3 linked regions of the Oreochromis niloticus genome follow. The protein of the gene in region 1 interacts with the protein of each later gene in a biochemical or structural test. Links are inferred from orthologs where the notes say so. Each region holds a gene or a part of one and is shown on either strand. Other genes may lie near its edges.

What was found. The genes of interacting proteins can lie anywhere in the genome.
Region 2: the proteins of rad51b (region 1) and rad51ap1 form a complex in vitro, tested with the Homo sapiens proteins (6 studies listed by BioGRID and IntAct). The link is inferred for Oreochromis niloticus from reciprocal best matches to the Homo sapiens genes RAD51 and RAD51AP1.
Region 3: the proteins of rad51b (region 1) and rad52 form a complex in vitro, tested with the Homo sapiens proteins (6 studies listed by BioGRID). The link is inferred for Oreochromis niloticus from reciprocal best matches to the Homo sapiens genes RAD51 and RAD52.

The regions. Positions count from the first base shown.
Region 1 is NC_031980.2:28,823,373-28,831,013, reverse strand, and holds the start of rad51b (DNA repair protein RAD51 homolog 2), read left to right. Parts: upstream 1-4,638; 5' UTR 4,639-4,756; intron 4,757-4,843; exon of another isoform or gene 4,844-5,065; intron 5,066-5,151; 5' UTR 5,152-5,215; coding exon 5,216-5,293; intron 5,294-7,171; coding exon 7,172-7,309; intron 7,310-7,641.
Region 2 is NC_031981.2:14,194,435-14,202,409, reverse strand, and holds the start of rad51ap1 (RAD51-associated protein 1), read left to right. Parts: upstream 1-4,968; 5' UTR 4,969-5,235; coding exon 5,236-5,252; intron 5,253-5,356; coding exon 5,357-5,403; intron 5,404-6,386; coding exon 6,387-6,516; intron 6,517-7,975. UniProt on the Homo sapiens protein: Structure-specific DNA-binding protein involved in DNA repair by promoting RAD51-mediated homologous recombination.
Region 3 is NC_031972.2:56,364,547-56,372,330, reverse strand, and holds the start of rad52 (DNA repair protein RAD52 homolog), read left to right. Parts: upstream 1-4,777; 5' UTR 4,778-5,020; coding exon 5,021-5,068; intron 5,069-7,138; coding exon 7,139-7,240; intron 7,241-7,363; coding exon 7,364-7,457; intron 7,458-7,533; coding exon 7,534-7,601; intron 7,602-7,678; coding exon 7,679-7,784. Other genes in the region: prr5a (proline-rich protein 5a), read right to left, coding at 1,569-1,699. UniProt on the Homo sapiens protein: Involved in double-stranded break repair. Plays a central role in genetic recombination and DNA repair by promoting the annealing of complementary single-stranded DNA and by stimulation of the RAD51 recombinase.

The DNA of each region.
Region 1 (7,641 bases):
AGCTCTAGTAATGCTTTAGATTTATCAGCTTCTTTAGGTGCTGCGGTTTTAAACAAAAAAACCTGAACACTCGCAAAAACTCCCTTTTTAACAGGAAGAAACCAAGAGCAGAACCACTGCTTAGGGAGGGGCATCCATCTCCGTCAGCTGGTGGGGGGGTGAGGGAAGGAGGAGAGCCAGAGATGATTAAAACTAATTATTAAATGCAGAGTTGTGTATCAAAGGTTTCAGATTTGCACAGCAAACTTCTTTTTTTTTTTTACTTCACTTTTGATGGCCTGTCACTGTTAAAGTTGGCATATTACACAGTTTACTCTATTTCTAGAGTCATTTTCAAATTCAAAAGCATTCTAATGTCTTACTTGGTAGAAATGTATGCTGTGACCACAGACCCCTCTGAAACCTGTGCACTCCAGTGAGTGAGTCCCCTTTTCAGTATTGCTCTCAGCAAACAGGGAAGGGCTAAAGCCCCCCCCCCCCCGGTTTTAATTCTGAAATTAAAACCAGAATTCAGGAGGAGGGGGGGAGAAGCAGAAAAATCCTGCTTTGCTTCCACAGGCAGTCATTTTGAAGCATGTGGCCTATAAAATGAAATAATCCTATTACTTCTGGAAATGGAGCTTTCCTCCTGCTTGGGGATCGATTTCTGGCCAAAGCTTTCCCTCCATGATCCTTATCCATGTATTTATGAATCATCTTAATGTCTGAAATGGGCCTTTAAACACAGTTTGATCAATTAATATAACTAGAAAAATTTGCATTTCCTGCAAAAATGCTGTATGGATGCTGTAAAGCTGAAGCTGTCTGCTGAAAAAGCTGAAAATAGCTGAAGAAGTTGAAGTCAGTATTTGGAAAGTTGGAAATACTATATTTAGTGAAAAAAAAACTGTTTTTGGTTGTTTATAAATATATAGTACTACCCTTCAGCCTCCTAGTAGACATACCTGTGTTATAAATGTGAAACTCCTAATTTTCAGAATAGTTGACCTCTGACCTTGAAGTCAAGGTCACTGAGATTTAAGCTTCAGAGACTTTCAGTAGATGCAACCATGGTATTGATTTGAAAATTCTACACTACTTGGGTGTCACAAACTTGGGTGTCCACAGCGCCTCAAAAATGCCAATGCTATTGTCAATTTTTGACAACGCGATTTTGATGTTGTCTAATGTAGTGCAAAAAACGAAACAAACCCAAAACATTAATAAATAAGGTAAATAAGGTATATACTACATACTATTAAACATTTTAGAGGTCCACAATGAGGTCAATGAACAGAATGAAGGAAGTAAGTCATTTTTATATGACAATGGTGTAAAAAAGCGTTTTCCTATTTTTTTTTTTTTTTTTTTTTTTTTTTGTATGTTTGTCACACCTAAACGTCTCAGATCATCAAACAACTATTTTTTTTTTTTATGTAAAAAGAAAAATCCTTTAACTGTCCAGTTTTCTTCATGTTATGATGCTTCTCCCACTGGTTTGTCATTAATAAATCAGATTTTGGCTGCTGCAGCAGAAAAAGACGAAGAGAAAATTTAATCACACAAATCAGAGGTGCAGATTTACACTTTACCTGAAACAGAGCAAAAGTGCTTTTTAAATAGGTTAATGAATATTATGTAATATAGGCTAGATGTCTGGACATTACTAGTTTCATTTGGGCCTTCTGAGCCATTAGTCCTCTGGCTTATTGCCAGTTACCAGCCAAATAGCTTGTGTACTTTATTATCTTAGTGTGTTAAAGATTCTAGTTCTTATTCTGGTCAAACTGTGCTTCATTATTTGTTTACAGCACAGCTACAGTTCCAGGTGACATACTGATATGAATCATAGTATTTTATGGAATTCCAAAAATGGCTGCCAGGACAGCTGCCACCACACTGATGTGACACACTACAAATCAACTCTTTGAATTAGGGTACATGATGCTCTGTGCTGAGTCTGCACAATAACGGGAGTGTTTGTCTGATTTCAAAAACTTTAATAAAAAAGCTGCTCTTTTAGCAGTTTGCTTCTTGTCCAGGTGTATGGAGGATGCCCCACCATACACCTGTCTGTATGCTGCTCTAAGTGCTTGACGATTTGGTGGACTGTCACTAAAACTGTGGTTCAGGGACTGAAACGGTGTCTGGTCAACATATCTGCTCAAATCTAAAGGATTTGATTTAAATCCCTGTTGTAACTGAACATGGTTTGTTTCATGGTATTACTGATGATAAAGACGCTTTGGTTTGGTTTCAGTGCAACTTTCAGTCAATGCTAATGCAGAAAGCATAATTTGCATTTCATACCATATTATGTGATATGCGACTACTGACATGGTTTCAAAGAACCAAAGTAGTTTGGCTGCTGAACCCAAACCCTACTGAAGCAAGATTACAAGATTATCTGTTCTGAAAGAAATCTTTTAGTGTGTGCTAGGCTGCTGCAAGGGCATTTGAAGTTAAAGGCATTACTAGAAAAATTTGCATTTCCTGCGAAAATGCTGTGTGAATGCCTTGTAGTGGAATCGGAAAACAGCTGAAGAACGAGAACAATCTGCTGAAGAAGCTGAAGTTTGTGCTGAAAAGAGTTGAGGAATCTGGAATTTGTGCTGAAAAGAGGTGAAAAAATGAAAATTCTGCTGAGAAGAGGTGAAGAAGTTGAAATTTGTGTTGAAAGGAATTTAAAAAGTTAAAGTGTTCACTGAAAAAAAATGTTGCCATAAGCGGGATTTGAACCTGGGTCTCCTGCTCTGAGAACAGCTGCTCATCTCACTGAGCTAAAACACAGCTCAGCTCAGAGAGCCAAATCAGAAAAGACGCTAGTAATTTGGTCCCAGTCATCAAAATGGGCAAAAAAAAAAAAGGCATAAAAAGCTTACTATTTCAAAAAGTATAGCAGTTATTAGCACCAAAAGATATAGCAGGCATCAACTGAAGGACCTGAAAAATTAGCTGACAAGAGCTGACAAAGTTGAACTTTCTGCAGAAATGAGGTGAATAACCTTAAGTTTGTGCTCGAAACAGGTGAAGAAGCAGAACTTTGTGCTGAAAAGAAGTGAAGACACTTAACCTTCTGGGTCAAATACTATTATTGAGCAAAAATACTACGATTTGGCACAAATACTATGCTTTGGCAGAATTACTGTCTTTGAGCACAAATTCTATGATTTGGCTCAAATACTATGATTTGGCAGAAATGCCATGTTTTAGCACAAATAATGTAATTTTGTTAAAATATTATGAATTGGCAGAAATACTATTAGCACAAATGCTATGATTTGGCAGAAATACTATGCTTTAGGACAGATACTCAGATTTGGCTCAAATACTATGATTTAGCAGTAATACGATAACATAGCAGAAGTACTATGATTTGTCACAAATGCTATTAGTACAAATACTATGATTTAGCACACATGCTATGATTTGGCTGAAATACTATGATTTAGCAGAAATACTACGATTTGGCACAAATACTATAATTTAACATAAACAGTATAACATAGCAGAAATACTGCGATTTAGCCAAAATACTACAGCATTGAGGAAATACTATGATTTAGCAGAAATAATATAATTTGGCAGAAATACTATGTTTCAGCACAAACATTATGATAGCAGAAATGTGTGCTTGTATGTTTCTAGATCAGTCAACTGTATGTCTGCTAAGTCATAGTATTTGTGCCAACTCATAGCATTGCTGCTAAATCATAGTATTTGTGATAAAACATAGTATTTCTGCCATTGACAGAAATACTATGTTTTAGCCTATATACTATAATTTGGCTCAAATACTACGATGAACACCAGTGTCCACTCTTAGTTAATTGCATAGCAACCATAACAACGCATGTATTCTGAAAAATCACAATTTTGCAACTGAAAACTTAAAGAGGCAGTAAATTAAAATGGTAACACACCCAATAATTTCAGAACATTTTAAAGTTTGAATGGGGTTTCTACGTGAAAGTATGAGGAAGTAGTTAAGTTTCAAAAACAAGCAAGTTTTAGCAGAATTGTGGAAGTTTCCCATTCATTTCAATGGGACAAAAAAAAGGAAAAAAGCTTAATATTTTAAAAAGTATAACAGTAATAAATACCAAAAGATATAGCCGGAAAGAGCAGAAATAGCAGAATACTGTAAAATTTGAACGGTGAAAATAGCACAAAACCTGAGGAAGCAACAAGAATAAAGAAAGGATAAAGAATAAAGAGAAACAGTTATCTGAAAGGAACACTCTTCCTGCAGGGCAACAACTTGACTAGAAACAAATTTAATTAGAGGCTCAGAGTACAGCTGGGTGTTAACAGGCTGCTATTAACATTAAAACATGTCATGAATATGAAAACAAATCATGAACATGATCTGTGCCACCTATGACCGTAAAAAAACAGCGTTGACCCCGCAGAACACTGTATTTTACCCCATAGAGTGGCGCCTTGAACGCTCCTTCTGAATGGCGGAAAAAGCAGCATTTTTCCCAGGGGTTCAAGGCGCTACTCTTTGGAGTAAAATACTGCGTTCAGTCGGGGACAAGTTCTGGCTTATTAAACGGTTACGTAATTTCGTAACCAGACGCGTTAAAAAAAATTGCGAATTTTGGCCTAGATTGTTTGCCATACTATTGTAATAACCTACTTCCGGTTCCCGTCTCTCACGAACCTTCTTTCACGCGCCCATTGGCTCCGTTTACGTACAACGTCATTGAATCTGAATCTGCGCGCGGGAGCTTCACACCGAAGAGTTTGAGGAAAACAAGAAAGCTGCAAGAAGGTAAGGACCGAAGTCGCGTAGAAATTACTACTTTTAGCCCAGTAACTGTTAACACTAACAGCAACGGTGACAGCAGAGTGCTCGGGCAGTTCATGCTAGCCCCACGGTGACAGCGCCTGGGCTGCCGGTCACATAAATAATGGCCGAATTTGTCGCTAAAGTGTGTTAACGTGAATTTACTGTGTTAGAAGAAAAACGTTACATTTTTACTGGGCATTAACAGTGTGTAAGTGTAGATGGAGTAGTCTCTTAGATGTTTTAAATGTGAAAACAAATAGACTTAAGTTTGGTTTTAAGGCAGATGAAAAGGTAAAGCAAAAAAACCTGCCGTGTGACGATCATCATGAAAACATCGTTGTATCAATCAGCTTTTGCATGCTAACTCTCTGGCTTAGCTTTCAGTATTAACCGTCAAACAATCAGCGAGCCGAGCGGAGCCGACCTGGGTCTCCTTGGATCATGGCGATGAGGAGCGAGGCCAGAGTGGAGGTGGAGGAGGAGGAAAACTACGGGCCACAGCCTCTATGCAGATTGGAGGTACGTATCCGTCCTTAGTGCACTGTGGTTTCTGTAACACCTGATTTTGTGTGCTGTAGAAGCTCGGAGCTGTGGGTTCGCTGATCCTGCTCCTCTTGGTCAGATCACTGCCAACTGCTGTTGCATTCAGCTGGCAAGAGATGGGATACACGCACTGCAAAGGCCAATGAAACTGATCCACAGGTCGGCGGGTGCGATGGTGCTCATTGTTTGCAATCGTTTTTGTGACCAGTATAGCTTCATTTAGTGTGTGATCAAAAATGACTTCATTCACTAAACTTAAATGCAGATGGACAAGTGTGCTTGCTCTTAGTCTGCCGTCTAAACTCAATTTAATACTTTTCTATTGTGACATTCAGGTATGAGGTGAAATTTGGTCACCTTATTTTTTGTATGACCTTAAGTACAGAGCTATCTAAAACGATCATGGCGTGGATCAGAGGATCTCAAATCCACCTGCACACTCAGACTGCAAGGATTAAAAAAAAATATGAGTATGGTATGTTCAAAGTATTATGTGACAAAGCTCTGACAATGTTCAAAGTGTAAAGGAAGGTGGCTTCATTACATATACTGAAGTAATTGTAAATGACCTGATTCTTCTTCTACAATGAGCAATGAGCTGATTCTTGGAGCACCAGGTGGAAACCACTGATTGATTCATGGAAGGATCCACCCGTCTTTGAACTTGGCCCTTTTTAAAAAAAATCTGACTGCATTTTATATGCCTATAGTGTTGCTAATAGTGCCCTGTAAGCTCTGCAAGTGGTCAGTAAGACCGAAGAAGTACTTTAAACATTAAATGTATTTGAAGCTTGGATGTAGAATGGGCTGATATGTCAGACACCATTAGATAATTGCTGAAAAATCAGTATTGGCATTTATAACGACTGATAAATAAAAATGTAAAAAGTAAAGAAGAGGAGGTAGAAAACCCCTTCAGTGAGTCATGGTTAATGCATAGATTGTCCACTAGAGGGTGCTCTGCAGCTGCACTGTTTAACACAAACACAACACTGCTGATATGGAAGGAGCACAAGTGAGTAATCCACAGCTTTTTGTGACAGTGAAACCCATTGATTTCTAAATAGTTGGTTCTTATTGTGTTTGTAGGGATTCATAAATAACCACATGTAACAATTGTGTGTGTGTGTGTGTGTGTGAGGAAGAAAAATTATCCTGATGCATCAGATTTTTAAATCACCAGATATTGGTATTGGTTTTAATAATCCTATATCAATCAGGCTCTGAACAGAATTGAGTGGTGGCATTAAAAAAAATCCAGTTTGTGTCATTTCATTGACTTCTTAAAAGCACCGCCCCATGACGCAGGTAAAAATGTTTTTAAAAAGGCCCGTTTTTAATGACATTTCTCCTGTTGTTCTCTATGCCTTCGCTGCTTGGTCCCTCACCAGGATCATATATTGTGTTAAATGAAACTGTCAGTGACTTTGCTCCTAAAATTCTGCATTTCTTACTGAGGCCTTTAAAAGCCAAAAGCCCACTCTGCATGATATCTCATAAATGGCTCTACTCTTTTCCTGGGACTTGATGGGTTCATTCCAGACACAGCGTGGTCCAGAGCAGGTCTACAGCATAAATAACTTTAACAGGGTTAAAGCCCCAGTAACAAATTCACAGTATTTTACTGTTTCACTGTTGTTGTTGTTTTATTTTTTAATTAATATGTGGTTTTGTATTTTTTTGCTATCTTTTACCTCAAAAGAACTTTGGTCAACTATGTTGTTTGTTTTTTAAGTGCTCTATCAAAAATTAAACTGGCTTTTAATCATGGAGTGTGCAAGACCCTACAGCTTCTTAAAAAACTCTTTCTGTGAATTTAGCTTTAGCTCTTTGTTTTGATGCCTCTGCACACAGCAATGTGGAATCAGTGCCAGTGACATCAAAAAGCTGGAGGATGCAGGATTCCACACCATTGAAGCAGTGGCCTACGCTCCCAAGAAGGAGCTGCTCAACATCAAGGGCATCAGTGAGGCCAAGGCTGACAAGATCCTGGTAAGGAACGACAGTCGTTTGATTCGGTATCTCAGAGGAATGTGAAAGCTGGCATTGTGTGGAGGAGACTGCATATGGTTGTATCTGATTTACAGATAAAACAGATACATTGTAGAGGCACATTAGTGTGCTTCTGTACTTTCTCCAAGTGCTGCTGGTTTGAACATCAGTGCATGCTGTTAAAGAAGACATGGTTTCCACTCTGTAGTAATATCCATGTCGACCCTAATGGATTTTATAAAATGGGAAATAAGGAATTCTAATATGAAATACATCATAGGAATTGAGTTTTTCATGGTCTTCAGCCAGAGCGCGCACAGCTGTGTGGGAGG
Region 2 (7,975 bases), on another chromosome or scaffold:
TGCCCCCGACCTATGAATGTTCTCTCAGACAGAGCATTTTGTCCCCACGAGTAGCTAAAAATATGCCCGGCTTGCAGCATAATAACACAGCTTGGAGGGACAAATAACCTCTTATGGAGTACTTCTGTTACATTAACAGCAGTACTCAATCATATTCGTGCACAACACTATATTTTTTCAATGTTCCTAAAATATCTTAATAGTGCAGAAGCAGTCTAGTTTCTCTTTGCCCTGTGAGGAATGTAAATAACAACACTGTAGTCTCCGCCTGCGGAACAACCATACAGGGGGATGGGTGCAGGACTCAGAGAGCCCCACACAAACTACCACTCTGAGATGCTATAGAGCGCATAATGATGGCATTCACATCAGTGGTTGAGGGGGGGGGAAACTGCCTCCTGACCACTTCCAACTAACAAGCTGAAATTAAGACCACTGATGACCTCACAGATGCCAACTAGGCTAGTAAACCCAACTGGATGCCTTGTTCCAAAATAGCCTAGTAATGCTGCCTAGTGTTGCCAGAGAAAGAAAAAAACAATCATTATGTATTTGTTAAATATGTTACATAATCCACAAATTAAATCTAACAAGGATTAATTTGCATAAGGAAATTAGAGAAACAGTTACTCCAAATTTCCCTTGTCCCTCTGGACCTCTTTACTCATGTCTTTCATGCATAGAGCCAACGGCTGTAAAACAGTTACTCAGTTTGGGCTTTGTTACAGGGTTTGTTATGAACTAGAGCGACTATAACTGCAGTCTAAAATGCAAAATAATTATCTTTATGTTTTACATTTTTGACATTTTAACCTTGAGATTAATTCACAGACTGTACACCACTAAAACATGCAGAAATGTGCAGTATTACCTTTTTTAAAGACAAATTATCATCACACAGCTTAACAATATAAACCCATGTAACTGCCACTAAACTCACTAACAGGATATTTCTACTTTTACTTTAGTTTATGTAACAGTCTTTCCCTCTTTAGTGGTCATGTGACTTTGTTTGGGAACATATAGGATTGGAGACATGGTAATTTTAACTGTAGCAGCATATATTCTAAACATTTCCTACAGTTATAAACGGATGTATATGTGGAGAAGTGCCAGAGAAACGCGACTGTCGTTTCAGGATTAACTTCGGCATTTTAAGAGAATGCAGGGGTGTGCTCAACCTGTCATTTGTAGCGCTGGAATAAATACAATATAAGCATGTATATATGTGTGAATGGAAGCGTTATGTTGTGACCGCAGTGTTTGCATGACTGGATCTGATATTTTAGTCGTGGCTGTAGGCAGTGCTGGAGGAGTTTAGGAATGCGTGACCACAGGGCCTTTTGGCCCCGTGGATGCATGTTCTCCTCCCTTGTCTGGGTCCAAAGGAGTGGACCATCACATCCCTGGTTGTTCCTCAAGGTCCACTGTGTGACAAACCGCAGCCGACAGCCACCCACTCACAAACTAGAAAATGACAACCCTCGGGGCAGCTGCTCTTCTCTTGAAAGTGCAGTAAAAATGGAGTGATTTTACTTTCACTGCACTTTAGAGGGAGCCGTGATTGCTTCCGCCCTGAGTGTGGGCGACTGAGTAGCTGAGGACGTGTCAGGTTCATGTCAATCAGCCAGTCAGAGTCTGTACCTCTGTGAACCAGAAGGCATTATGCTGCCACCTGCTGGTAACTTGTCTGACACGACTGATACTGTCACTGCCTGCAAATAAAGAAGCAGAAATGCCTCCTCAAAGTTAACTTTCATACAAGATGATGGCTAAGATGCAGTCCAGAAACCACAAGTTTCCAGAGAGATGTTTATGATCTGAAATATATTTAGCACAGTTGACAGTTTAAAAACACTTTTTTTAGACCATTTTAAAGATATTACCCACATATATTTTTAAGTAAGTGATGTTTGTTTCTTCATTCTAGTCCCCCGCACACACCTACATCTGCACTTGTGCAAACTTAGGTTTGGCAGCCTGGTACTGTAGGTGTGGAATGAATAACTACTTTAGACTAATTTGGCATATTAAGGGAAGTAAGACATGAGGTGGCAGGTAGCATATGTTACATCCCAAAGTCTCAAAAGCTAAAGTTTCAGATCCTAAAACTTTTGCTTAACTAAGAGCTGATCTTCTGCATTAACCCCGGACTAGACTGAAGCAGTTTCTTGTCTAAATGATTTGTAAAAAAAAAAAAAAAGACGTTTGTCAGCTCTCTGTCAGTGAATTCTCCAAATTGTTGCAAGTGCACTGAAAAAGAAAAAGGTTAACCTAAGACTTCTTTTTCTGGGTGAAAATATGGCTTTTGTTTGCCTGTTTGTCTACTGGATTATAAAATTCACACAAACTGATGGAAAAGTCCAGGTCACTATATTTACTGTAAACCTGGGTCATTTAGTCTTGGGCTTAGAGGACAACTACAATCTTTGATTAGTTCCCGCATATTGAATTTTGGCTTTTTCTTTTAAACCAGATATTATTTCTGAAACAATCCCCAAAGGATTTGTGTCTCCTCCTGCAATCTTTCACTTGTCAGGCAAATATGTAAACAACTACACAATAGAACCACAACTGCAGTCTCTGAGTTCCTTTCTATTAATCATTCCCAAAGATATGATTAGATTCTTTATTTACTCTGTGTAGAAAGTAATTTGTTATATTACTCACTGTAGTTTGAGTTACTCCCCAGCATCAGCTGTCATGTACATGCAAGAGCAAAGATCCACCTTGTAAAAAGAAGGAAATACACAAAATCCTTCTTTTATCATTTAAGAATTATGACAAACAGCAACAGCCAATGAAGAAATTGGCAAAAACCAGCATAAAGAGCCCCTCACACAATAATGTGGTGATAGTGATTCTACTCTGTTAGCTTCTATGTACTACTGTGGGCTTGTTTTTCTTTAAAGAAAACAGTAACACCGGGTCCTGGTGTCTTTCACGACTAATTTTTGTGTATACATTTGAGCATGTTAGCAGTGACTAGTTGTTTTTGCACTTGTCTTATTTTTTTTCTTTTTTTAAAAGCTTGTCTTGACCTGAATGCGATGTTGTTCTAAACACGTTCACTTTCCTAAGATGAATTCTATAATTTCTCTATAGCTCCTTTTGTTTATTTCTTTTATCTGTTTATTTGTTTCTTATTATTATTATTTCTGGTATCACAGAACATATATACAGTAATATGACAATGCCAAAGCTGACAGGCAGGAGAAAAAAGGCAAAGAAAAAAAGAAAGGGGGAGAAAATATGATAAAACTGTCACGGCGAGTGAGATGAGCCGTGTGGAAATAATAAAGGAGGATCCAAACGCAGGCACTTGTAAAGGTGTGAAGGTGGTTTATTGAACACAAAATAAAGATAGACAAACGGCAAACGGAGAATGAACTAAACTACACTGGGAACAACTAACTACTGAACACGAACCTGAACATGAAGGAAGATAGACGATGGTATATGATGGTGACAGCAGGGAGAACACACAAATAGAACATGGTAGATACACAGACGGACCAGCGGCTACTACAACCGAAGACACGACTTAAATACACTCAGAGAAACACAGGGAGATTACACACAGGTGGGGGACACAGCTGGGAGTAATTAACGAGAGGAGACAAGGGAGGTAAACTGAACACACTCACATGAGACGCAGACCTTCACAATAAAACAGGGAACAAGAAAACACTACACAAGGACGCAGGCTCGACACTGAGAGGCAGACAGAATATAGCACATGGAACCTGAACTATACTAAACGTGAGACACAACCAAAGAACAAATCCTTAAACATGAATAAACAGAAACATAGAATTCAAATAATAACCAACAAATCACAAAGGTAGCAAAACGATCATTCAAGAATAAACCAAAACATAATAAACTCAGAATGCTGGGTCGAACCGCCCCAGAACCGTGACAAAAAGGGTAGAGCTCAAACAGAGAAATGCAATGGATCACTTCTGCCACACCTGTAAGAAAAAACATACAAAAAACAAAGATTATCTAGAAGAGCAAAATATGAAAAAAAGACAAGTCTTTGGTCATTTAAAGTAAAAAATGTAAATTAATATATCCATAATTCCACTCCTCAAAAGGTGTAAAAATCAGCGACAACAGGTCTGACTGAGTGATGAATACAATTTGAAATTTTTGGCTCAAATTTTTGGAGCTGTTGTCAGGAGGTTAAGAGAGTGTCCAACAGTGAGCATCTACAACCATCCATAAAACACAGTGGAGGCTGTAATGGTTTTAGGGCTGCATTTCAACCTGTTGGGGATCTTGTCAAAATTGATGTACTTATAACTGCAGAAAAGTACCGTCAGATTTTGCAATATCATCTGAAATGCATCTGATTGGCAACAGCTTAATGTTGCAGTATGGCAATAATCCCGATCTTACCTAGATAGAAAGGTCCTGGCTTTTCATATCCCAGAGCTCGGACTGAAACATTACTGAAACAGAGTGGGACCAACGAAAGACAGCCAACATCCAAAGAAGAGGTCTGAATGTCCTTCACAAAGCCTGGAGAACTATTCCCGAAGAATAAACAAGAAAGGTTGTCCAAGAAAGTTCAGGCTATGTTGAATAAAGGTGCTCATACCAAATATTGACTTTCAAACTCTGTTTTTGCCTTATATACGGCATTTACACACGTTTTAATAAACTGCTGTATCCATTCACATTTTCATATCAAACTATAGATAAAAAATGGGGCGGCACAAGATTTTTGCACAGTACCAAGCCATTTATTATTGTTAGCCGGGCGAAATTAGCAAAGCTGCGCCAAGCTATTTGAGAGAAGCAGATTCGACACCTTAAAAAACGAATTAAAAAGAAAAACAGAAAATTATCTATTGCTCTCTGATTATTTCTGATTTTAAAGATTAAAACGGGCTGCCACAAACGGACTCTTCTTCTGTATTCTTTTGCTTTGTTTAGAAATAAACGAATCTGCTTGCAGTTTCCGTCAGATTGGTAAACAACTGACGTCACTTCTGGTCTGTTCAGGCGGGCTGTTTGAGAGCTTGGGGGACCGACGTACCTCACGTTAAGCTTGTGTAACTAAAGTTATATAGTTTACGGATCTCATTCACGATAAGTGACACCTTAACTTTTTTGTAATCGTGTGGAGATCGAAAGTCAAAGTTTGGTCGACTTCACTCAGCTGGAGGGAGTAGTGCTGATTAGCCGTGTCAATGCGGTTATTGTTAGCTGACTAAAAAGCGAGCTATGGACCGACCATCTAGGTGAGCTACTGCTTTTGTCTATGCCTGGTAAACTAGATCTGTGGTGATGCTAAAAAAATGTTTTTTAATTTATTTTTTTGTTTTTTTTAATTGTTGACACACAGGAAGACAAAGACTGTGAATTACTGTGAGAGCAAGGACTTCGATGATGGTGAGTTAAATTAAAAATCTGTTATCCTGGCCCATTTGATCCACAGTGTGATGAAGAAATAGCATAGCATAGCATGTCATGTCATGTCATCATTTTATAGTCTTACAGAGGCGATGCGTGGATGTAGTGAAGGCTGACATGCATAGGGTTGGTGTGACAGAGGAGGATGCTGGGAATAGTGTGAGATGGGGCAGATCTGCTGTGGAGACGCCTAAAGGGAGCAACTGAAAGTAGAACTGCATACAAATTTAAATAAATAAATTAAAAACTTTATGCAAGTTCTACTGACTTGCTTTATGATAAAGGCTAAATGTGTGAGTGTGAGTGTGTGTGTGTGTGTGTATATATATATATATATATATATATATATATATATATATATATATATATATATATATATATAAGGGAAGGAAGGAAGGAAGGTAAAATACACAAAGAAATGTATGTATGTATGTATGTATGTATGTTGTGGGCAACAGAGTGAAAAGGTGGTGGGCCCCACCTTAAGTGAAGTATTTAAATGTTATAATAACAGGTTGATCTTAAGTATTCAGAATGAGGTTTTTCCACACGGAAGACCATCTTTCTTTCTGTTTTTTGTTTTTTTTGTTTTATTTTGAAAAGGTGAGACATCCACACGCTGTGCCAGTGGGTGTATTGATGAGCACAGAAATATTAACATCTTTATGACGGATCTGTTGGAAATTTTACAGTGATCTTTACATTTTATTTACTTTAGATGTCTTGTGTTAACTTGATAAATCGCACTCACTGCAGTGGTGTCACTTCGTGCAAAACAAAGTGGTGTGATCAGGAAAAGGACATTGCAACAAAAAACGTGCTATTAGATACTGTTGCTTTGCAGAAGACTCTTAAATTCCAGGAAAACCTGTAGTACAATAGGGTGCACATGTGTAATCCAAAGGACTCACTTTCCAGTCTTAACAGTGGTATCTTTGTCATTTGTCCTCATTTTGTGACAGATGAGGATTTTGCCTGTGTGAAGGCCCCACCCAGCAAAAAGGTCAGGGAGGATGTGAAAGAAGAACAGAAGAAATCATTAAGCAAGTCCTCCAGTCAAGAGGCCACCTCACAATCGAGCCAGAAGAACAGGTAGGTGGCGAGTTAATCTGACACTGGCTGTGACAATCAGGCTAGAGGGCTCATGAAACCTGTTGTGAATAAATGTTACCAGTTTTACTGTTGTTTAGTTTGTTTCCAGCAGAGGGCGCACCACTTGTGTATGTCCTGCAATGTGGGGAAGTTATGTTTCAGTCCGTTAGCTATCCATAGGCAGCTACAGGTTACCTATCTACCTGCAGGGGGCAGTGGTGCCACCACTCTGTGGGTTACTCTTGCTTGTGCTGCCCTAGGTTCATCCGCCATCCGCTAAGAATGTAGTTCTAAAGCACAAAAGAGCTGAAGTGAAGCCGAGCATTAAAAATAATCAAGTGTCCACTGCAGCCACTGTCTTTACTTTTCATCTTGTACCTTTGCTTTTCTTTTTTTGTGTTCCTTTGTCGCTCCTTTCCCTGTTTTGGCACACTTCTCAACTCGTCAGCATTTGGTTGATGCACAGTGTCATCCACCTTGAGCAGCATGAAGTGGTCATGTATAGGAGTTCATTTGCATTGGTTACTGTCAGTAGGCAAATATCTTAACAAATAGACACACGCACAGTACTGTAAATGTGTGCAGTGCAGTGTTTCCTTTTAGTTGATCCTCTGAAGTTACAGCTGCTGACACTAGTATAGTTTTTGCTCACTACCAATGAACTATAAGATGCATCCAAGATCCAAAATGGGCCCAACATTTAAGAATAACGTAGTATTTAGGTCAGATTCTTGTGGCTCACCTGCACTACCTTCAAGGCCCACCAGGGGGCTGCAGGCCACACTTTGGGAAACACTGGTCTTGTGGTTTGAAATTCAATTCAATTCAGTTTTATTTATATAGCGCCAAATCACAACAACAGTCACCTCAAGGCGATTTGAGGTGACTGTCCACATTCACTAATGAATTTGAACATTTTCTTATTTTAATCTCAGTCATTGTGGCCCTAGTGATGACAATATTGCACCACATGATGATTAAAAGGATTAAACTCACAGATTTTTGGTCTTTTGTTGTAGGTGTAGATATGATATGTAAAGAAATACCAGTCCAAAAGTAATACTTGGGTCTAGCACCAGTGCATTAATAGATTTTCAAAATGGGTTCATATTTTGTTGAGATGAGTAGCTAAGCTTAGGAGATAAGCAGTGGAAATTATAACTTTGATTTCATCACTGTTAGTGTAGACCGAGAGCTGCACTGGGTGTGCAGTCAGCTTGAAGGTAAGCAGTCACTTTTAAAGAATATACTGCAGACTGCGGATAAATGTTTGGGTTAAAGCCTCGCTGTGATGCTTTAACTCATTAAGGTGGTTGAATAGTAAAGCCATTCAAAGTCATTGATAAAATGATGACTGGCTAATCAGTGGGGATAATCGCTAAATCAAAACAAAATGTTGATTATGCTGAGTTAAATTTTAAAAAATGTCACCGAAAAGTAGTCTTTTCTTTTACATTTT
Region 3 (7,784 bases), on another chromosome or scaffold:
TTTTTTTTTGCTGTGGGGTCAGATGAGAAGATTGATATCATATTTTTAAACACTGAAGCTAAATATGCAGCTACAGAGAGGATTTGATTAGCTTACTGCAGAGATATGAACATATAAAGATATGAAGATATGAAGGGGGGGGGGGGGGGGGGGGGGGGTGATTGCATCTTATCAAAAAACAAGGAATGCATGCACAAGTTTGAATTTATTTTGGATTTTTTTCTAATCAGGGTCAGAAATCTACATATATTCCCTTAAATTTTTAATAAGTGGTGCTAAAGTTTCTACAGTGTTTTTTAACTTTAAAAAAGCCAAGGCCTGTTAACTTCCTGTTAGTTGTTATAATTAATCACAACATGTTTGGAGGAGTAAAGCTTAAGTTTTTAAACCTAAACACAGAAATAGCTGTCAAGCATGGTGGTGATAGCATCATGCTCCGGGGTTGGTTTGCTGCCAGTGGTACTGGCAGTGGTAGTGGTAATCAACCAGTTTAAATGAACTATACAAATTCTGCTAATAAGAGTGATCTAATATCCAGCCATTGTTATGCCAGAAGGTTGTTGACCGCTACCAAAAGCATCTGGTCAAGGTGCAACTTGTTAAGAGACATTTAATCAAATATTAGTGGGGGAGTATACATGTATTTGAGTGTGTATGTATACTTTTTGCCTTAGAGAAAATCCAAAAGTCCTTAAAGATGTATGCTGTACAATCATTCCAACCTAGAAAAGTTCAAAGAAATTAAAATTCTAAAATTACTGTGACATTCATGTCCATGATGAGTGTTTGTAAACTTCTCACCACAACTGAAGGTTTTAGCGTCTCTAAGTTAGAAATCATCTGTTACCACCCTCCAAAAAAACAAATCCACAAACCTCAGTGTGAGCAGTTTCATGTAGGAACTACACCTGCCAGCAAAGGAAGCACGTGTGCTGCACATTAAGATTACAGCTCAGTGAAGGGAAACACTGATGTTTCCATCTTGTAATGCTGTCACAAGTACCAGCTCTGGGTGAACTGCCCCTTTAAGAGGCACAATTCCGGAAAATCCTAATGTAATTCGAGTATACCTAAAATTTAAGTGCATGTTTTAACACATTCATCAATCTAAAATATCCTAAAAGTGTAAAAAGAGAGAGAGAGAGAGAGAGAGAGAGAGAGAGAGAGAGAGAGAGAGAGAAAACACTGTTTGCATATTTTTAGGAAGACCTGGTAAAAAAGAAGAAATGATGAGTTCAAACCCACACAGTCCTGAAACTCTCTGCTGACAACAGAGCAGTAAACAACAGAGCCCCCCACTTTCACACCCACACACATGAACACAGAAAACATGGAAAGCAGAGCGCACAAACGAATGAGGTGTCCATACATGAGGAAATGAGTCAATCAAACAACCCACCAGGACATCATTACCATTAGACCAGCATGTGTTTCAGCTGGTTAATGAAATCTTCTGGGACAGACATGGTGTGATTTCTTTTTTCTTTTTGTAAATGCTTATAAATATTTCATGCATTTTCCAGGAGGCTGCACGCTGTGAAATGCTAAGCCCAGGAACTGAGACTCACCTCCTGATTGGATGCTCATTGCTGCTGTCCAAATCCGGGCTCGGAGGAGGGGGCGAGAAGGTGCTGAAGTTGAGCGACAGGGGTCGAGGGGAGGGCCGGGAGGCGTGCCTCCGCCGCAGTCCATCAAGCATCTGAAGTTTGCGTAAAAGTGGAAATGTCAACAAAGGCTAGCAGGAGGGATTAAAATTGGATCAAGGAGCTGTGTGAGGCATCGATGAAAAATGTCTCAAGTGCAGTCATGAGCCTCCTCCGCCCTTTACTTTGAGAGAGCGAATCAAGCAGGGAACATTAAAGCGGTATAAGAGACACAACACAGTAAAGCGAAATTCACGGTCAAAGGGGCACAGGATAAAAATCAAACCCCACATCTGAGACTTCCTCACAATGAGTGCTTTCTCTTTCTTTATTCTCTACCTGACTGTCAGTTCAAAACCAGAGAGGAGTGTTTTGCAATCAAAGCTGGGCTGACCTGCAGGGTTTACACACGCATTGCATCAGAGGAAAGAGAAAAGAGAAGTGCATGTGTGTACACGCATCAGTCTGCGCCAGTTATTCCTGTAAAAGCGTTACAGTTGCTCTCAGTTTGGGTGTCTCCCCATAGAAACGTACTGTACAAAGTAAAGCACCATCCCCTGGTCAGAGGGGAGAACAGCAGTCTGGGTTGTCACTCTACAGACAAAAGAGCCAACACTAGCCTCAACATGTAAAGCACAAAGAGAGGGGGGTGCCTCGTGTGTTTTCAGAAGAACCGGGCCTGCAGTTTAATTAGAGTAAGATCACATCTGAGTCAGCAGCGCTGGCTGCTCACTGTCTACCCGGAATGCCATGCCACGCCAGTCTGGGCATTTCTGCTTTTGTTCACCCCTCCTCCTCCTTGGCTTGTCTTTTAGGGGCGATTACAATCAGATCGATGCCTCTTAAAAAATAAATAAAAATTATCCGTAAGAACGTGCATTTCTTTTCTGCTCTATGGATCTCTCCCCGTGATTCCGAGCTGAGCCATTCGACATCATACGGCCATTCAATCGGCCAGACACGCAATCAACAGTCCACGTTTATCCTACTGGGAGGAATGCACCGCCAGTCGTGCGTACGTGGATGTTTTATGTTTTTAAAAACCTGTGCGCAGAACACAATGAAGCAAAGTGCCCCGGTAAACAAAGCCACCGTGTAACAAGCACACGCAGATGCTGCGTTTGGTCCACCTTTGGATAAAAACTGTATCATAATGGCCACAAAGTTGCCGTATGTCATGCGCCTCTGCCCGCCCACTGTAGCCCGCACTCACCGTTCCTGATCTTGTCGTATAGCTCCTGCTGAGATGAAACGGTCATGTAGTGCTGAGGGGAACTGTTTACTGTCCGGGTTCATCAGCGGCTGCCTCCTGTTCTGTTAGCCGCCTGTCTGCGCACCCTCACGGGCATCGGGGTGCGGGCGGGCGGGCGGTGGAAAGGTCCGACCTGCGGGGACTCATTCAGTAAGAAGCCAGAAGCAAGAACTGCCGCTTGCTCGCTCCGGCTCGCCCCCGCTTTGTTTTGACGAGATGCAAACGCGAAACCTGGACGCGTGGACGCGGCCACGAGCAGCACGTGGACGCGCGTCCGTGGTTATAGCTGTATGTAAGCGAGAGGGGATAACTCCAATGGGAAATAAGAATAATGGCAGAGTTTAATTCCGGAGGGCTAATTTTATTATTATTAAGACGCAGACTTTAAGAATTAACACACAAACCGGGGGAGACACTAATACGCAAACAGTGTGCTAACACTGCAGTGCACAGGTGTGCAGTCAGTGGTGAGAAAGGCCTCGCTTTGCAATATGGCCATAAACAGAAGATAGTAAACACACAGTTTCCAGCTCTGACCCAAATCCACACAGTTTCACACAAGGGTAGCCTTACCATCTGTGAGTGCAGATGCGTGTGTTCTCCGGATAATCCCCCTTTTCCGTGGATGAGATGTTTAAAAATAAGGGTGGGGGTGTGGGGGCAGTCTTGTGAGAAACTGTAAGGAATAAATTTAGTTTTCTGTCTGCTTTGCAAAAATCCTGGCACTCCTATACATGTGACAGAAAAATGGCTCTTGTTGGATCAAAGAGGTGCGTTATAACACGGTGCGTTTAGCTCAGATTGTTAATAAAAGGGAGATTGTATTCTCCCATACAATCCCACGAGATTTAGTGCAAACACAGACCAGCCTGATCAGCCTGCTATTCCAGCTAAAACAGGGAAAACAGGTAGAGATCCTTCTTGCATGCAAATATTTATCTTGCAGATATTTAATTCACTGCACAAGGAAGACTAAACAACAAACGCAAAAACTTTAGCTTCTGTTAAAAATTTAATTGCATTAATCAAATCTTTCATAGCTTCTTACATTCTTTTGCAGATCTCCTCTGAGGTCACTTTAGTGTCTGTGGATCAGAGTTTGCTGAAATAGAAGTTTGGAGAACGGAAAATGTTCCCTGTGCAGAATCCAAACCTGTTTAACCGCTTGCATGCGGTTTGCATGCTGTTATATGCAGGTTTTATTTTGTTTTAAAGCTGTTTTGCCTACAGTGCTATTGTAGCCATTTGATTATTTATTTTAAAGCTTGGAATCATTATAGATAAACAGTTCACAAAGCACACAAACCAGACAAGGGCCAGCGTAAAAGATAATATCAAAAGCAGTGAAAAGTCTCCCCTCTAATAACCACGTGTTGTGGCTGGGTAATCCTCTATTTATTATTCAAAATTAAACACTGATTTATTATGGAATAAAGAATATAATGATTGCAAAGATTAATTAAGGAACTCAAAAGCAGTGTCTGAAGAGACCTCGACCTGAGGATGTGATGTCAAAGAATGTGCCTCTAGCCACATCCTACAGGTAGCATCACCTGTCTTTGTGTCCTCTGCACAGCAGTTTCAGTCATTAGATGGGGCATACACAAACAAAAGTAATATTAGATACTATTACACCTTACAATGAAATATGCATTTAAGGCGACCTCGTCATTTTCTATATCGGGCCCTGTGAGAGGAAATACAACTTTCATGGCGCATCGTTTATGTTTCAGGTGGATGCATATTTTTTAAGCTATCATAAATAAAATAAAAATTAAATAGCTGATTCTGCCTTTAAAATATATAAGTTAATAATTAAAATTTGCGTGTAAACCCAGTAACCCCTAGATTTCAATTAGTAGTTTATTTTCCAATAGCCGTGAAGGCACCATAAGCTCCTCCTCCGGTAGTCCGAGCGGGAAGTTCAGAAAGATGGCTGCCTCTTTGAAATAATATTCATATTTTCTGCTGCTCATTCAACACAGAAGGCACTTTAGAGGAACTGTAACCGGCTAGTTTGTATCCACTGACTTCTATCGGGTCTCAGGCTCTTCTCGTGTAGTTTTATCGATAAGTGAAGCCATCTTAGCCTCTTTTTCAGTGACTGAGGAACATCTCGGCAGTCATGTCCAGTGAGGAGACGAGCAGCTCTGCGTCCAGGTGCTTCGGACAGGTATGTGGGCTAAATGAGACTTCTTTAACGGTTTACTGAGGGAAAAAAGCTAATTATTCTAAATGGGACACAGGTGTGTTGAGTTAAATTAGTATGATAAAGCACATCTGTTTTTGTTTCCAGTCCCACTGCTGATAAAGTTTTGATTGAAACGGGTTGGAGCACAATGTGTGTCAGTCTGAATGTCTGTGAATGGACACTAGAGGGGACCGAGTTTATTTATGTAGTAGAGTATCATAGTTTTGTATTTTCTACAAAGTTTGTAATTTCTTTTGAAAGTTTAGTTTTTATTGTTCTTCCGGTCCTATATACCCTTAACCCCCCGCTATGGTCTTTCCTCTTTTGTCTGGCAACTCCATCTTCAGCATCCTTGGTCCAATATATCCACCATCCGTCCTCTACACACGTCAAACCGTTTCTAACCTGAGATGTCGCTCTGATGTACTCATTTCTAATCCTGTCTATTCTTGGTCACGCCCAATGAAAATCTGAGCATCTTCACCTCTGTCACCCCCAGTCACACCTCCTGTCTTTTTGTCAGTTCACCTTCTCCAAACTAAATATCGTAGCAGTTCTCACGACCATCTTCTAAACCTTACCTTTCATTCTTGCTGCTATTCTTCTGTTAAAAATCACTCCTGCCACTCCTCTCCATGGGCGCACTTTGATATAAAGAGGTCTGGAGGAGTGAAACACTCCTCTCTATTATTGTAAAGGACTTTAACTACACATTTAATTACTGGGCGATCTTAATATAGGAAGAAGAAATGCAATTTCAACAGTGTGTCTCAGTTTTTCTGCATCATAAAGAAGATGCTTTCAGCCCGACTCTAAAATTGTAAGAAATAAATGTGCAAAATTACATAAAATGGTCCGGTAGCTCACTGCCTAGACTCTCCTGTAGTGATAAAACAGAAACCCCCAAAAGTTGATTCTGTTCATCTGGACGTAGCGTTTTCATTGGGAGAAATGTTTCGTCACTCATCCAAGTGACTTCTTCAGTCTACGTCCAGATGAACAGAATCAACTTTTGGGGATTTACTTACCTGGATGATTGAGCATGCATCATGACGATAAAACAAAGTTTTGTTAATTCACAGAAAATGCCTGGTTTCTCTAGTAGATAGAAAACTATTTTTTTACTATCATTTAAATGCTTTTCTATTACTTAATTACTCCGATGTGGTATGAATGGCCGTAGGGGAGATTTTAATCAGTGGGAAAAAATTTTCAAACTAATGAAAATACCGTAATAATTCCAAAATTTATGCCCTGAAAAGGAGTGTTTCCCCGGCCTGTTCTGGCCCCCGGGCCTAGTTTTTGACTCCCCTGCCTTATAAATTGAGGAAGTGCAATTTTTAAAATATTTACAACAGTGATTGAAATTAAAGAATACATTTAAAGATGAAAACAAAGGAAAAAGGAGCAGGAAGTTATAATACAGAAGTGTGTGAGGAATCTTAATAAGTCTGAGGGAGGAGAAGCTCTCCTGTGTCTGTGCAGTGGAGTGGAGCGTGTTCGATGGGTTGCCGATGATGGAGAGGTTTGTTCAGAGACCTCCGGTCTCTCACTGACTCACATGCCTCCAGATTCTGGGCAATGATTGATCGAGTCTTATGGATTAGTTTGTTGATCTTGCTGGCATGTCTGTTTTTGCAGAAGTCTTTCTATTTTATTATATTTTCTTTAATGTAAATAAAGTCATTTTAACTTCCACCTTTAGTTCAGTTTTATTTTAATATTAATAACCTTAGATTTCACCTGTAACCTGCACATCCATATTAAGTTTGATAGGATTTGCTGACCTTCCTGGAAGCCCAAAGGCTGCCGAGAACAGCTTGTACTCTGGGTGGCTTTTTAATGTCTGAAATGAAGTAGAAGTAGACAAAGCATCAGTAGTGAATCGCTCTTTATGTTATTAGTGTAAACCTAGCTTCCTGCACCTCCAGAGGATAATAACTGCCAGCCAGTTTCACTCAGATCATACAAATATGACAACAATGTAAGCTTGTTTTCATTATTAATGGTATTTCCGCTGTGTGCCTTGCTGACACTGGGGTGTGATGACAGCTTACCTACACAGCTGAGGAGTACCAGGCGGTGCAAGATGCTCTGCGACAGAAGCTGGGACCAGAGTACATCAGCACCAGAATGGCCGGAGGAGGACAGAAGGCAAGTCTTTATTTTCCTCTGCAGCTACAAAAGCTGCCTGCACCTCAGACTGTGGATGTTTCTTCATAATAACATGTCATAATTTCATTTTTCAACTTCAAATAGCTACTCTGATTTCAACAGGTATGCTACATTGAAGGCCATCGTGTCATCAGCTTGGCCAATGAGATGTTTGGATACAATGGATGGTCTCACTCCATTTCCCAGCAGAATGTTGGTATGACTCGTTTCACAGCTTAGGATCCAGGTTTACCTTCTCGTGCTCAGACTAACACAAGAGTCTTTATTGGCAGATTTCGTAGACCTCATCAACGGGAAGTTTTACGTCGGTGTCAGCGCATTTGTTAAAGTGCAGCTCAAGGTTGGGTAAATGAGCCTCTTTTATTTTTCTGCCCCCCTCTCTTCCATCCATATGAGCTCATGTTGCTTTTCCTCCAGGATGGATCGTTTCATGAGGATGTTGGCTATGGAGTCAGCGAAGGACTAAAGTCGAAAGCTCTGTCACTGGAAAAGGCGAGGAAGGAAGCAGTCACTGATGGCATGA